Tribolium castaneum: one gene and its partners. The protein of the gene in region 3 interacts with the protein of the main gene of each other region in a pairwise test. Links are inferred from orthologs where the notes say so. Each region holds a gene or a part of one and is shown on either strand. Other genes may lie near its edges. The genes, in order: Src64B, cAMP-dependent protein kinase catalytic subunit 1, slo and Slip1.

What was found.
Region 1: the proteins of slo (region 3) and Src64B interact in binary tests that used the Drosophila melanogaster proteins (3 or more experiments, as listed by UniProt). The link is inferred for Tribolium castaneum from reciprocal best matches to the Drosophila melanogaster genes slo and Src64B.
Region 2: the proteins of slo (region 3) and cAMP-dependent protein kinase catalytic subunit 1 interact in binary tests that used the Drosophila melanogaster proteins (3 or more experiments, as listed by UniProt). The link is inferred for Tribolium castaneum from reciprocal best matches to the Drosophila melanogaster genes slo and Pka-C1.
Region 4: the proteins of slo (region 3) and Slip1 interact in binary tests that used the Drosophila melanogaster proteins (3 or more experiments, as listed by UniProt). The link is inferred for Tribolium castaneum from reciprocal best matches to the Drosophila melanogaster genes slo and Slip1.

What each region holds. Positions count from the first base shown.
Region 1 is NC_087394.1:24,284,898-24,288,463, reverse strand, and holds part of Src64B (tyrosine-protein kinase Src64B), read left to right. Parts: intron 1-2,298; coding exon 2,299-2,605; intron 2,606-2,664; coding exon 2,665-2,918; intron 2,919-3,566. UniProt on the Drosophila melanogaster protein: Tyrosine-protein kinase that may play a role in the development of neural tissue and smooth muscle. May contribute to tyrosine phosphorylation of Dscam1, a cell surface receptor involved in targeting of growing axons during eye morphogenesis.
Region 2 is NC_087397.1:21,579,304-21,583,361, reverse strand, and holds the start of cAMP-dependent protein kinase catalytic subunit 1, read right to left. Parts: upstream 2,822-4,058; 5' UTR 2,493-2,821; coding exon 1,951-2,492; intron 1-1,950. UniProt on the Drosophila melanogaster protein: Serine/threonine-protein kinase involved in memory formation. Promotes long-term memory by phosphorylating meng and by regulating CrebB protein stability and activity.
Region 3 is NC_087400.1:8,504,227-8,508,488, reverse strand, and holds the start of slo (calcium-activated potassium channel slowpoke), read right to left. Parts: upstream 2,818-4,262; 5' UTR 2,621-2,817; coding exon 2,297-2,620; intron 1-2,296. UniProt on the Drosophila melanogaster protein: Potassium channel activated by both membrane depolarization or increase in cytosolic Ca(2+) that mediates export of K(+). Its activation dampens the excitatory events that elevate the cytosolic Ca(2+) concentration and/or depolarize the cell membrane.
Region 4 is NC_087403.1:3,146,486-3,150,780, forward strand, and holds the start of Slip1 (E3 ubiquitin-protein ligase PDZRN3-B), read left to right. Parts: upstream 1-1,456; 5' UTR 1,457-1,684; coding exon 1,685-1,705; intron 1,706-4,295. UniProt on the Drosophila melanogaster protein: May selectively reduce calcium-activated potassium channel (Slo) currents by reducing the number of Slo channels in the plasma membrane.

The DNA of each region.
Region 1 (3,566 bases), on a different chromosome or scaffold from region 3:
TACTTGCGATTAACACCGATAACACTTTCGACGACGTCTATAATTTACTGTCAATGTCAGTTTGACAAATTCGTGACACTTGACGGTGTTGTCGAAGTGCACATGTAAATTAATGTTAAAGGATACCACCCTTAGATAGCCCTTAGCTGTTTAAATTTGCATTGTTTTTGATAATTTTTTATAGCTTTGTGTTGGTAATGAAAAAATGAAATTGATGACGCACACGCAAATCGAGCTGACCGCCACTATATTTCTTTCCTTTTTTTGTTACTTACTTATGTCAGAGGTTTATGACGAAAAGGTTATAATTTTTGTCAAATGCATAAAATGACATAATTTTACGTCAAATTTAACCAGGGACGTAGGAAACGTAGAAATTTTGGGATTACTATTTAAAAAAAGAAAATAATTGAATACCTCTTAATATTAATGTTCACATTTCTGAAATTTTTCAATATTTATTTTAATATTAAATACATAACTTAAAACATACTTCAATGCTAAAAATGCTTTTCTTTCAGTCACAATTTTTAGTTAGACGTCCCAAAAATTGGTCATCAAGAACCCTTCATATTTCCTGTCGTCTTTTTAAATTTTCTAAAAAATGATATTGAAGGTGTTCTCGTATGAAAAACGTAACAAGATCGTGAATTCCCAATAACTTTATAATTTGAAACAAAATCTAAAGTTCACGTAGATGCTAAAGGCGGCCAAGCAGTGACAGGTTCAACTTTCCTAAAAATTAGAACCAATTTTGGGTTCAAGTACCTACGTATTTTGTAAATGCATAGACAAATTCCCAAAATCTCATAGATTTTGTACATAATATTATTTAGTCAATCCACTTTTCCAAATGCTTGTTAATAATAAACGTAAAACTTGGCAGGAAAGGTTCAATTTCTCTCTCTTTCATCGATGATTACCATTTCTTAAAGTTAAGGAAAAAATGTTTATGATGAAGAGTTTAGACGTAAAATTCTTATATTTACAAAGAAATCTCTTTTAAAATTTGGAGTTTATATAAAAAAAACAGTGAATTGACGACGACTGCCAATCTAAACCATTTCTAAACGCAGTTAGTCGACGAAAAATGGAAACGTTTTTTGACAAATTTATTTGACTTTTCGCCAAATTTCAAGTGTAACACCACTCATTTCTATCCCAATTTGTTTTTTACACATTCCAACCGACGTATATGAACCAAAATTTCGAAAATTGACATTCAGTGTCCCAACTCTCCCAATATTTCCTATATAATATATAATATAATATTCGGAAGTAAAGTTACCGTTGAGGGCGCCACTGAGCTAGGTCGAAAACAGTAACCATAAATGGCGGGAAAATGTTTATTCGGATATTTTGAGCGTTGTACGAATTTTGAGGCTTCACAATTATTACATTGCCTATGCGGAATGATTATTGTATCTTTGGTGGAAGAAACGAATGTTGACAAATTGGAGATGTCGAGGAAAACACGAATAATGAATGACTTTTTGGTTTACTTTCTTTATTGGAAAATTATTACAAAGACATTGAGAAGCCTACCTTTTGGCATAATTTACGTTTAAGTGTATTAGCAGTTGTTAATCTTAATTGTAGTTTTGTTGATTTATCGAAGTATTTCATGATTTTATCAGTGGAAAAATTCTAACCTAAAATTCACTAATTTATTGGTTTCTTGAGCCCAACTTTGTGTTCGCTGTGATCCATTACTATAGTCTTTAATTAGACAATTGTTTGATAACACTTTGTAATGAAAATTTAAATCTTTTTCACTTTTTATTCATTTTCAAATTCCAACAATAAACACTTTACACCACGAAAAACCGCAGAACCAAAGTCAAAGCTAGTATTTACCACCACGTACTTTTAAAGTGATTCTCTCCAATGTAAGCAATTAACACTATACACGCAAAATTGTTAAACAATTTACTAGACGTCAATTAAATGTGGAATTACGAAAATTTCGTTACTGTTTTCGACATAGTTCAAAAGTCATCACCAGAGGGCGTCTAGTTAATTTTATTTTCGAATAATATAATATAAAAAAACCAACCCATAATTATTTATAATTTCTTTGTAAATTTATTGCCACAAAAACTGTCCATCCAAGAGCACTCACTGCACTCGTGCTGCAAACAAGTTATTCAAGTTGGAAATTATATTTTCCCTCGTATTTTCCAAACATGTTGGGTAAATCATTATTGTCTAACGGTGTCAGATCGGGTGACCTTGGCGGCCCCAAAATGTTACTAGTCACGAAAACTCCTACATAAAATAATGAAAAAAAAATTCCAGGTGGTCCACCTCGACTGACAATCAACAATCCCTACACACCGGACCCTCAGCGGAGTCATGTCGATATAATAAGGAGTCGGCCGACCCCCACACGGCCCCCTCTTTCCGTAAAGGGCCGCGTGGTCGTGGCCCTTTACAACTACGAGGCCCGCGACAGCAGCGATGTCTCGTTTAAGAAAGGCGATCGCATGGAAGTCATCGATGACTCCGAAGGCGATTGGCTAAATGTGATACATCTCATAACCAAAGTCCAGGGCTACATCCCTGGAAATTTTGTAGCGGCCGAATTGAGCGTCGAAAGCGAAGAGTTAGTATCGGTTTTTCCTCTTATCACAACGGGAAATTGTCACATCCTTTGTCTTTTAGCTGGTTTTTTGAAAACGTATCGCGAAAGGAAGCCGAGAAGCTTCTCCTCGCCGAGGAAAATCCAAGAGGAACTTTCCTAGTCCGTCCTTCCGAGCATAATCCCAACGGGTATTCGCTCTCAGTCAAAGACTGGGAGGAGATCAGGGAATACCACGTCAAACACTACAAAATCAAGCCGCTTGATAACGGCGGATTCTACATTTCCACCAACAAAACATTCCTCACTTTAGTCGAATTAGTCAATGCTTACACCAGTAAGTTGAAACTAGAGTAGGGAACGAAACGAGGTACAAAATCGCACCCCAAAAAATATAATACGGAGAGTAGTATTTTTACTCCCGGTACCAGATCGTTTTAAATTAATTCAAATTCAATTCAATTCACTAATTACTTGGAAAAAATACAGAAATGTTGTGCTTTGCATTCTTAATAGACTGAGAAAAAGTGACGACCAAAATTTTCACGAGAAATGTGGGAAAAAAGTTGTTTTAAATTTAAAATTTGCGCTTCGTCTCAGATTTTTCAAAACGCTGCGAATACGGTTTAACTGTCAACTGGTTTTGTTTTTCCGTAGTTAAGTCAAATTGTCAAATCGCTGTAGGTGTCTAGACCTGATAAATTCAACCCCCTCCAGGTATTCTCTAGGCGCGATGTATTCTTCCAGATACAGTGTAAGTATTTGGGTTGCGTCAGTATTTAACTTCTGAGTCAAATTTGACCTAGCAATACCAGTTACTTTGGCGTATTTTTTGATTTCGTTTTGTGAAAATGTCCCGCTTTTTAAGTTAGCTAAGTTGGCAGACGTTTTCAATTATTTATGTAATGATAGTGGTAATAAAACTGATCACTGATCAGTAAATAATGATGTTCAAGATAAGTGACAATGATCTGAGATCATTGAA
Region 2 (4,058 bases), on a different chromosome or scaffold from region 3:
TTTCATAAATAACATTTCACAAAAAGTCCAAAGACACTTTCCATAGGCGAATATTGTTTCCTTTTACAACAACACAGAAATTTCTGCCAGTGTTGTTTGTTTTTAAAGTAATTTCACCAAATTAAAACAATTTTACTTTTTTGACAGCACACACACTTTTGATACAGTGGGACACAAAATGCCGCATGATTATTCAAATATTTTGAAAATTTGGATTTAGTTTTTAACAACAAAATCAATTTTTTTTTCTTGGATCAACCGAGCGATTTGGTTAATTTTTTGTGGAGCCATCTATTTTTCGGGGTTTAATAATCCAATACTAATTCAGCTTAATTTTAAATAAAAGAAATGTGTTTTAAAATTACATTTCTTAACTTATGTCATTTTTTGCCCCTAATGGAAAAAACACCTCCTAAAATATGTGCATTCTAAATTTCATAAAAATCTGTTGACAAATAACTGATATATTAAGCTCGAAAGTCTTAGCTGAGACACTCTGTATATATCTAAGGAAAAAGTCAATAATACAAGTTATGGACTATTTTCGGCTCGTTGGAACAGCCTGAATGTGAAGAATGAAGAAAATACCAAATCCAATATTGTTAGAGGCTCTGAACCCGTCAGGTCCACACCATACATTTATTAACTAACACATAACTATTTTATTTATTTACTTAGAATTTTGGTATTGCCAGTACCTTCTTAACTTTATATTAAATTCAACTTAACTTTATATTTTATAGAAGCGTCATTAAGTTAATCTGCAATTAAATGCATCACGTGACCAAATTGAACAAATTTGATTGGTCTATTCGCGTTGTTAACTTTTAAAAACGAATTAAATTAAAGCTTTCTATAAACCGGCCCAAAGTAGTTTTCTGAAATATAGTTTTTTTTTATATAATCACTTGTCAGTGTCAAAATTCTGATAAAGACCAGACTATTTCATCCTAAAAGTTCATGTCCACCCACTTTTGAAACTGGCTGTATTCTGTATTTGACATTTTGAACACCAGATTTGGCATTTTTGAAAATTAGATGTTAGTGTTAATCGTTAATTCGTTAGTCTAAAAGTGGTCTAAAATAACTAAATGTGTTGTTGTACGCGTTTTAAATTGGAGACAATTTGAAAAATTTGGAAATTGAATGTGCCAGGTAAAAAATTACACCAACCTTAATTCAAAAAAATTACTCTATTTATGATAATGCCAACCTGACGGTTCTTAGATAGTTGATTATAAACAAAAACGACGATATGATTGTACATGCGATCATTTCAATTTATAGTTAGATTAGGCGGTTTTTATCTTTGTAATTAATAAATTAGTGCAACATGAAAGAAAAAATGTATTCCAATTGAATATTACTATTCGAAATTTTATTATTTGACTTTCAGCTTGATTAATTATGATAATCAGCGTTTTCAAAGCCTACTCTAATCATAAATTCAATGAGATCGAAAATAAACTGAATTAGAGCAGGTCATGCTGCGGAATTTTAGCCAAATGTCAAAAAATGAGAGACTATGATTTTTCAAAAACTGATTCCTTGCTTCATCTAAATTATACCAAAATGGTGTTTAAAAGCCTACATCGTAGAATGCTATTTTAATAACAAGTGAAAAAAAAGAGACTGACAGAAATCTTCAATTGGCAGAATTTCGGTTATTTGCTAACATAAAAACAGTATTTCTGGACATCTTCTTAATCTTATCTACTGTCTTTTGCAACACGATGTTTTGAAAAGAAGTGTGGCTAAAAATGCACTTCCCTTGGCTTGCTTTAATTCAGTAAATTTTCGATCTCATGGCATAAGAAACAATTTCAGAACACCAAAGGGCCTAAAGAGCTTGACCTTCCCCACATGTAGACTTGTGTTAGAATTTTTTCACTCGTCAAATAAAGCGTCCGATTTCCACTCAAAATAAATAACTATCATTTGTTTATTTACCCCTGCGAGTCGATGAGAAGATTCTCCGGTTTCAGATCCCTGTAGATCAGATCTAGATAGTGCAAGTATTCGAAAGCGAGCACAATTTGGGCAGCATAAAACCTCGAATGTGGCTCAGAGAAGCGTCCGACTTTCCTCAAATGCGAAAACATCTCTCCTCCAGGCACATACTCCAACACCATGTACAAGTTCGAATTGTCTTTGAAGTGAAACCGCAGACTGACTAGGAACGGGAAACTGATCGCCTGCAGGATGCGCTTCTCGTTGAGGGTGTGCTCCACCTGCTTCAACTTGACCACCTTTTGCTTATCGAGGATTTTCATCGCATAGTACTCTTTCGTGGGTTTGTGTTGGACGATCATTACACGTCCGAATGAACCCGTACCTAGGGTTTTAATGCGCTCGAAGTCGTCCAAACAGGCGGTGTTTGTCGGATTCTTCTTCCACTTCTCCTCGAAGTCCTCCTTGGCCTGGTCGAGGAACTCCTTCACGCTTTCGGCGGAGTCGACCTTTTTGTTCGCCGTTGCGGCATTGTTGCCCATGGTTTGGACTTGGACACCTTCCAGGGCTTCGATTGATTTCTAACACCGCCTGAAGCACCAAGGATGAGCTCGGAGCGGATGTCGCGTTTGGTTTGTGTCAACACAACGATCCGTACACACGCATTATTGAGTTTATCTCGCACGATTGAGGCACAGACACTGATTAAAACGGGCAACACAAATTCAAAATACACGCCGAAAAACCAACGAGCTAACGATAAAATGGCTACCAAGTGCCCAGATTTTCACTTCATTTGGGGATTGAAGCGAAGACACTCGCTCGCAAGTCAATTACACGGTTTAATGGGGAGATAAGAGAGGACGCCACCGAACGGATGGTAATGCTTGGGGAAAGCGGACAACAAGCGAAATACAAGCAATGCGCGAGATTTAAATCAAGTTTAAACATTTTTATTTTAATCATCGTAAAACAGGTTAGGTAACACTTGTCAGTGTCAATGAACTGTCAAATGTGACACGACTGTGACAGTGCCTACTTGAAAAATAATTCGTAACAATACATTATTAATTTTATTCATAAATTAATACTATTACGACGAATTCTAAACGTAATATGTGCAAAATTCATCAACATTCATTACTAATCACATAGGTACTCAATATTCAAAACTCTTAATTAATTTTTTTTAATTTTTTAAATATTAGAAATGTGTATAATTGGTTGCGTCCACAGTTCAAAATATCAAAGAATATTAAAAAAAGATTGCTGTTTGGAAAGTTTGTCCTTAATAAAACTGAGAGTACATTAATTAAACCGTAACGCAAACGTCTCATTTTAGTTTCAGGATGTTTTACTATAATTTAATCAATACTGTATTTTTTGAAATATTTTTTTGATTTCTACAAGATTAATTGCGATGTATTTTTCAAAATTTGAAAAAATTAATAGCTAAAATAATGAATAGTTGCAATAAGAGATCTAATTCTTAATAACTAGGGTTCGGAAAATATGCATTAAAAAAAACCTAAAATATGCACCATAAATATGCTATATTGCTGTCATACAATTTAAAAAAAAAGTAAGTCTTTCTTACATTATACATAATTTTTAATTACAAAAGCCATAAAAATAATAAGTACAAATCTCCAATAAGTTATATACAACATATCTGTATTTTTTGCAGTTACACACATTTTTTTGTCACAATTCTGTTACATAATTTTTTATTTATTAACTATTAGCGTTGTAATTGTATATTGTAACATATTTTTCTAAGTTTTCTAGAATAAAACTTTGTCTCCTATCTGTTAAAATTAGTTTGTAGAAAAAAAGGACCTCATTGAAGCAAATTGAAATTAATTTAGAAAATGAGTTTTATTCTTTTTGTCGTTGAACTTTGTTAATTTGGGTTAGAAATGCAAATTGTAACTAAATAATTATTGTACATTTTCAAAAAATAGAAAAAATTAAATGTATTGCAAGAAAATAATTTTTTGCTGCAACCTGCGATTGTCGTTTTGTGAGACACTACTAAAGAATTTGCTTTCATATTCAAAAACCAAAAGCAATCTGAATGTTAGAAATTTACTATACTAATTTCCAAA
Region 3 (4,262 bases):
ACTGCTGCAACTAATTTTGGAAGCTGAACGCCAATTAAAAAAAGTATTGTGCCTGCAATTACATGGGCAAATTAATAATTCGACAACATTCTAAAAACAAACCATTAACCCAGAAGCATATTTACATATGGGCTAAATGAGCAATAGCCCAGTGCAGCTTTAATAAATTGATCAAATTTTTAGTTATCGTCGCATTTTTTACTTCTTAAGTTCTTAATTGTTTGATTAATGAGTTTTAAGAAGTTTTTAGTTGTAGCTTTGTGACCTAAATGTCTTTGAAAAAAGTCAACGACAACATAATACTCGTTTTATACAAAAAAAGTCGTAAATATGTGTAGGTTTTTCGTAAAAAAAATTTTTTATTAATTTCAGGGTATTTTTTTAAAAGATATCCTAGAAAACCACAGATTTATTTGGTTTCATTACGAAGAATTTTTTCAGATTTTTAATTTAATTTTTAAAACTCTCTTGAATTTTGGAGAACTGAATTTGCTATTTCGTTCAAATAAAGTGATTGAAAAAATATAAAGATAAATATAAATAAAAATATAAAATATAAATATAAATATAAAGATGTATATTAAAACATCAATATCTAGCAGTTTATGCATTTAACAGTTCATTTAAAGTTTCACAAAAGAAGTGATACTTAAAATTTTAAAGGGTGATTTGTACAGTGCGTTCAAAAAGTCTTTAGATCAACTCTTGCTGTGAAATTTTGAAAAGTACAAATTAAATGCACAGTATTTTATTCAAACGACAAGTATTTTTGATCAGTAAAAATAATAAATGCACAGTAAAAATAACAAATGCACAGTAAAATAACAAATGCACAGTAAAAACAATAAATGCACAAAAAAAATAATAAATGCACAGTAAAAATAATAGATGCACAGTAAAAATAACAAATGCACAGTAAAATAACAAATGCACAGTAAAAATAATAAATGCACTGTTAAAATAATAAATGCACAGTAAAAATAACAATTGCATAGTAAGAATAATAAATGCACAGTAAAAATAATGAATGCACAATAAAAATAATAACTGCACAGTTAAAATAATATTTGCAGAGTAAAAATAACAAATGCATAGTAAAAATAACAATTGCACAGTAAAAATAATAAATGCACAGTAAAAATAATAAGTCCACAGTAAATATAGTAAATGCACAGTAAAAATAACAATTTCATAGTAAAAATAATAAATGCACAGTAAAAATAATAACTGTGCAGTAAAAATAATAAATGCACAGTAAAAATAATAGATGCAAAGTAAAAATAATAAATGCGCAGTAAATAATAGCATCTCAAAACTAGAGAGTGTAGAATTCGCCCCAGCCTGCAAGCTAGCTACTGGGCGTTTATTATTTAAACTGTACGAATTTTACTAAAATACTGAGCGTAGTTTACTTGTCATTTAAATTTTTTACTGTGCGAAAATTATTATTTTTTACTGATCAAAATCGAATTTATTACTGATCGCTTTATTACGACGCAATTTTGAACGTATTTTGATTACTTACGATTACTACGAACTTTAACAGCTTCAATAGAATAAAACGATAATCTATCAATCTAAATTCCACAGCAAGAGTTGATCTAAAGGCTTTTTGAACGCACCGTATTACAAAGTACGACAAAAATCTCTCTGTGTTAATAAAAATTGTTCATTTACGGGGTTTGTACATTTGTTCTTATTCTATAAATTAATCAATAAATGTTGTCTTAGGCAGGGGCGTCAATGGACCTAAATACGCCACTGCATGTTCCTATTCAAAAATGTTTGATTTCATGTTATTGATATTTTTGATTTGACAAGGTTTAGAATAGACTGGTAAATAATTGTCCTTTTTGTAGTCAATTCGTATCAAAATAACCTTTTTCACCTAAATTTTTTATAATGTTGGCAGAGACTTGCTGTATTTGTGTCATACATTGAGGTCATAATGATGCACGTCATTAGTTAGGAAGACGTAATTTACCATAATTTTGTTTGCTGCATGGAGCTTGAATTTATATAAACTGGAAATATGTCCTGGGATTAGCTGAATGAGTTCCATATGTAGGTATATGTTAGCAATGAATGCGCCATCTGGGTCAGACTGTCAAATATTTTCTTGCTCTTCACGACATTTAGTCAAAGTATCAGAATTTTCTTTCCATTATCGATTTTCGATCGAATCAATAAATCGTGTTAACCTTTCCCCAAAAAAGCCGTTGTAATTTGGTGATTTGCCCCCGGTGGGCGTAACTCCCCCATCTTGCGTCATGTCGGCAGACAGCTCGTCTCTTACCAATATCCTTCCGGTGGTGGTCTGTCCCGAAATGAGCTCTCCCGCCCAGTCCTTGGCCTCCGTCATGAAGGTCCCCTCGAACTCCTGCTTGCCCTGCCTGGCGGCCTTCTGCTCCTTCTGCTTCGGGTCATTGGGCCCGTACTGCACCTCCTTGCGGCAGCAGAGGAAGGCGAACAGCCGCCACACCAGCACGATGAGGAGGCCGGCCAGGAAGGTGAAGATGCTCGAAAGCAGGAAGCACCAGTATTTCCTTTCGTCGAGGCATGGGTCCGGGGTGGCGGTGCTGGAGATGGGCGGCTCGGTCGCCGCCTCTTCGCTCGTCATCCCGCGCTAGGCGGCATCCACTCGCGCCACCGTCGTCGTACACTCACCGAGGTGCTCGCATCCGCGACGGAGAGGAGACGTGCTGTCGACGGCGAGCAGCTCCGAGCGCAACTGACGCGACGCCGACGTCGCCCCGCTGCTATACAGGATCATGCGGGAATCAATACGAAGGACGCCCTGGCGGCGTGCGCCGAGACGACAACACAGAGGCGGCGCGCCGCAAACAACTGATCAACACAGACCTACAGCCACTTGACTTCGCGTGGACGCACGACATTTTTCTTCAAGTTTTTTTAACACAGGCTCACTTTACGCAGTGGCATACAGAGTGATTCGGATAAAATAAAGAGCCTGACGACCTGCCGATGCAATCAAAAAAACATATTTCATTTATGCCTTTGATCCAATTTAAATTAGGATTAGCAAGTTGAATCCAAGTTATCAACTTATGTCACTCCGACATTAGCGCAGAGAATGATCATTATTGCCATTCAATTTTCGAGGAATGATAGAGAAAGTAGAGAAGTCTTTTCGGTGTATAAACTACAATACAAGGCGGCCCCTAAGAACTGTCAAAACGATCCAAAAACATGTGTTCCTACTTTTATATATAGCGTGCTCAAAAACTGGCGCACCAACTCAATGGTGTGTGGTAGAGAACTGGTTACATATAAAGGTAAAAATAGTAAAAACATTCTTTGTATTAACGTTATTGATAAATAACGGATTTTAGATAAATGATATGTGGCAACGTTGTCTAACAGTCATAATCGCAATAGAATTTGAGCAACAATAAAAATAAATTATTTTTGAAACAGTTTCCTAGGAAATAATTCCCAGTGTTGGCACATCTACACATTGTGATTTTTTGGATGAATTTTATTTTTTTTAAATTAAAAAAACTGCCAAAATCTGATAGTAAATTTAAAAATAATTATTCATTGTTTTGTTACGGAACGATTACCTGGTATGAAACATAAAATCATAAAAAATAATGAAAACCAAAGAAATTAAACACAATAAGTTTGTAGCTCCAGATTTTTAAAATATGACTTTAGGAATTTTTTCAACATTTTTCCCATAATCTGCACTTGCTTCTCAATAACGTACCACTGAGTTGGTGCGCCAGTTTTTGAGCACTCTGTATATCCCAGAAAATCGACAACGGAGCAGTACCAAATAAAAAGCAAAATGATTAGGAATCAATTTCCCACAAATCTACAGATTTTCCATTTAGAATTGAATTCGTGTATTTTTGGGTATGCTGATCTGATAAAGTTTTGACTTGGGTGCCAAACGCAAGATCTACACAGATCGGAAAAACATACACCCACCATTCACGCACATCATTTGCATGCTAAAATTGATACCCGATACTAGCAATAGCAAGGAAAAAACAACCTTTAGAAAAATTTCTCTGAGAAAAAGATTTTTTAAATATTACCGCTTTAAAAATCTAGTTTGAAGTGCCAGATGAAGGCAGTACAATGGTTTCTGGTTGAAAATTGTTGTCGATTTTGAGATATGTGTAAAAGTATGATCTTATGGATTTTTGATCATTTTGACAGTTCTCAGGGATCGCCTTAAACATTGTTGGGCTTCAGTAGATTTGTCAAAGAATTCAAAAATTAAAATTTTAAAT
Region 4 (4,295 bases), on a different chromosome or scaffold from region 3:
TGTGACCTTCTGTGACCCACTTAATTCGGACAAATTTAAACTGTAGTTTTTGTCAGTGTTACCTCCCAAGAACGGTACGTACATTATTTTTCACACTTCACATCAATAAATCAACACCAAACAACTCCAGTCTATTCAAGTGAGCAGATGTCTTCGACTAGTTAAACAAATATAATCAACTCGAAATTTTATATACACCATCCGAAATAAATCAAAAAAATTCTTCTAGCGTAACTATAGATTCGTTTCCCGAAATGTTTATCTAACTCGCTCTCGTCCCGATATTCTTTACGGAAGGAGTAAAAAGTATAGTGCAAAAACACTCTCCTAGAAAGTTTTTGGTCTGAATTCAGCCGGGCTTAGTCTATTTATTATAATTCAAAGCATGTTGTGACTGTCGGTCGATATGACAAAGAAAGAATGCAACAAAAATTCATTCATCATTCTTTAATCATGCAAAGTATAGAACAGACCATAATACGCGAAAACCAACGATTTGAGCGAAAATATGTTCTTCTAATTCCGCCATTTCCATGGTGGTTATATTGAGAATCGCTTAGCAAGGCAACTAATTAAACATCACAGTGGGAACAATTGAATTTTAAGTCGATTTAGACGTATAATTACTTTTACTGTCATAACCATCCTGAGCGTCCATCGTTTCGATTAAGCCCTGACAATTAACAGCTATCAAGGGTATTTACCATTCGGTTTCGATAAGCAATACTTAGGTATTAAGTGGTCATCAGGATGCTGTGACGTTACCATTTCAGAAACTTTGTACTGAATCCAGATTTTTTGTCAAAGTGGTGCAGATTGCAGTAATTATCACTGTGTATTACACCACAAAGACAACTTGCAACCGCTACCAAATCTTTAAAGTGGAAAATGGCATTACAAAGTGGCGTGGAAATATAATCAACTGAAGTGAGATATACGGTATCTAATTAATCGCAAGCCATGTAGAACAGCATGTTATGCAATTTCCGGAAAAAATGTGGATCTGAAGTGCACTTGGTGGACACCCACATCGTCCAGAATCCATCAGATTTGACGTTTTTATGTGTTCAAACACTTAGCCCAATAAATTAATTTCGGGATCTGGGTCCGAAGTGCAAGTTGTCCAGGTGCCCGCCGGCAATAGTCCGGTTGTTGTTGGTTTTATTGGCGTGTTGTTGATTTCGGAGTTCCCTCGGAAGTGAAGGGTCTGAGTTATTGTTGTGCTTGTGCCGGTGGTCCCGGTGTCGAACGTTTGAAATTGGGTGTGTTGATATGTTGATTGGTGGTGAGGCATTGTGTGCGTTAATTGCTTCTGAGGTCCGGGCGCGGGTCCGAAAGAGTCCTAATTGAATTAAACGTGTCGCGGCATCCGGAATGCGACCGGGCAGCCCCTGAACCTTGCCATAGCTATCAACAATATAAGATAATGAACGCGTATTCCTGATGAAGAGCAGGGGGGCGCTGGGGTGCAGACTGCAGCACAAGTACAGCACGGAGTCGCAACCACGGCGTTACTCAGTTGGAATTCGTGCCTCAGCTTTGGTGGCTGCAGCCGTTCAGTGGCCTCAGTGCTCGCAATGCGCTCGCTCTCCACGGACGACTCTGCGGACTCCAACACACGCGTTGTCTCGGTGCCTCTCGTTCCGATGCGATCGACTTGTGCTTGCAATTGAACGCAACATACATGGATTTTATCATACTCAAGGTAAGTGCCCCAGAGCACCGCAACTTTAGGACACTCCGGCTATGATCAAAAGTGAAACTTCGCCGTCCGCACACATTTGCATTGTTTCTGCGACCACGAGAACTTCAGCGAGCTCAAGTCCAAGGCAGCTTTTTTCAAAACCACCACCTGTGTGGAGCGAGTCCTGCCGACTTTCGGTGATTAAAGGCGGATTAAAGGACCCTCGCTTGACTTAATCACTTTCAATCAGGAATTATTAAACTGACTTGAATTTTTTCGGTAACTAATCACATGTGTTGGCAAAATTGTACAGTTAGCTGTATTTTAATTGACATTTATTTGCTTAATTGCGTTCTGCAGTGTCATTAAGCACATGTGAAATCGGCAATTAGTGCTTTCGAAAATTGTAATTGAAGCAATTAGAAGTACGTAAGTTGAGTGGTACCCTTGACTTGTTATTAGAATAACCAAAAATCCAAATCGTGCTTTACTTTGAACGAAGCTTATCGGGTTTGTCGTGGTTTATCTATTTCATTTATTTTGCGAATTGTCGGAAACATTAATTTTGGGGGTTGGCCCGAGATTAAAACTTATGATTGATTCATTCTCGCAATTAGTCAGAGATTAATTACGCGCCATTGTGGCAGAGTTTTAAAAACTTGCCGCTTTTAATAAGGTAAAGTTCGGCGGGGGCGGTTTAGTTTCGTGGTAGTTTTACAGAAGTGTCAGTCGATATCGTTAAAAATACAGAAGTTGGGATCTAGTATTGAGACAAGGATTTGTGGGAGGATTTCAAACAAATAAACTTTAGTCGGCCTCGATTCGATTCCCTTTCGAGTGGGAAATTCAGGTGGATCCCCGGAGTGAAATGTCACGGAATGCTTTTGATTACTTGAATGCGGATTAAAGATGACAAGTTTATGCATTTCTAACTTCCTGACTTGATTCGCTTACTTGCGGTTGCCTTAGTCGTCTTTTTTGTTTATCCCTATTGTTTCGTTTGGAAATTTCAATATTTGTTTCATTTAATTTTCCACAGAACTGGTAAATTTTTAATGGACACACTAAGGCCTGGTCGATTTTTAAAGGCCATTTGCCAGTTAATATTCCAAGCTGCTCCCAACTGAAAGGCCGTAAATTAATATACTACTCAGTCCACCCACAACTATATGCGTTTAATGGGGTTTTAATCATTGAAAATGTTTCATTTCGGGATGAATTTACCGATTGATGGTTACCGATGTGTTATCGATTACCTTTTGAAAAAAATTTTAAAAAGGAAACAACGATCGTAAAATTACTGTTGCAGCACATAAATGTCAAAATTCCGTGTAATAAGGTGTTGACTGAGACATAAAAATAAAAATGGTAATCATAGGTGTTGATGTTATTACCTTTTTTAGCCATTGCTACTGAGATTTTTATAGCTCAATTAGTGCCACTTCATTTCCATACTGTCTTTTTCTCTTGATGAATTTTGTTAAAAATTAGTCTCGTCTTTTAAACAACTCAAGAATAATTTAAAAGCGCTACAGCAGTAACTTACTTAACCTTACCCGTCTGTTTTGACCCGTTTTATTTATTCATTACCTGCTATTGTTCAAAAATGGAACTGGTCAGGTAGAAAATATTTCACCTTTTCAACCGCTAATATCTTTACAACTATCGGTAGTTTACTCAGAAGTATCGGATGAAATAAACGCTGTAAAATTGCAGTTTACCCTGTTGATATTGTTTTACACAATAGGTAATGTTATGTTTGATCAAGACGGTAGTTTCGATTGTTTATTGTTTCAAGATTGGGTGAACGTGCTCTCTACAAGCAACTAATAAGAGTGCTGTACCCGCTTCAATTTGCGTATTCTTTGCATTTTTGCGCGTTTTCGCAATCTGCACTATTAAATTTTCATATTGTCTCTCTAATATTTATATCGTTGCACAAATAAAAATTGCAAGCATTATCTGTGTTCATTTCCAAGCCGTTTTAGAGATTTTATTAAAGATCTTGTCATTTATCTCATGTTTGTCTTTTACTGTTTACGTAGTTGTGAGTACATAAACACACTTGCTTTGTTTATCACTATATTGATATTGGTGTCATAACATTTGTTCTAAGCATCGACTGTGATATTTCCTGATTTTCAAAATTTGGGTATTTCTCCAAAAAATACTAATTTTTGATTCGAACTTGATACGGGATGTAGGTAGTTGAGAGAAACCTGATACGTAAAATTTGTCAGCTCTCCAAACAAAGAAGTGGAGAAATAAAAGAATGACCATTAAGAGGGAGCTTTTGCATATCACATTAATGGCATTAGTCGTGTAATGTATAGCCTTGATTTAGTTGATTTTTTGCTTTGATTAGGTTGAGTGTAACTTTTTACTTGGTCCCTTTCTGTATAATATTTGATTAAAGTAGGGTTTGAATCCCTTTGCTAAAGTTTAACCACTTTGGCTGCCAATTAGACGTAATAAAAATTTTCCCCAAATACAAATGTCAAGATTGACTTGAAAATCCCATGCCCATGCAGTGCATGTGTGGTTAATTGGTTTTGGTGGCCGAATTAATTATCTAATTTCTCCATTAGATACTTGATAGTGGTGCGGTAAA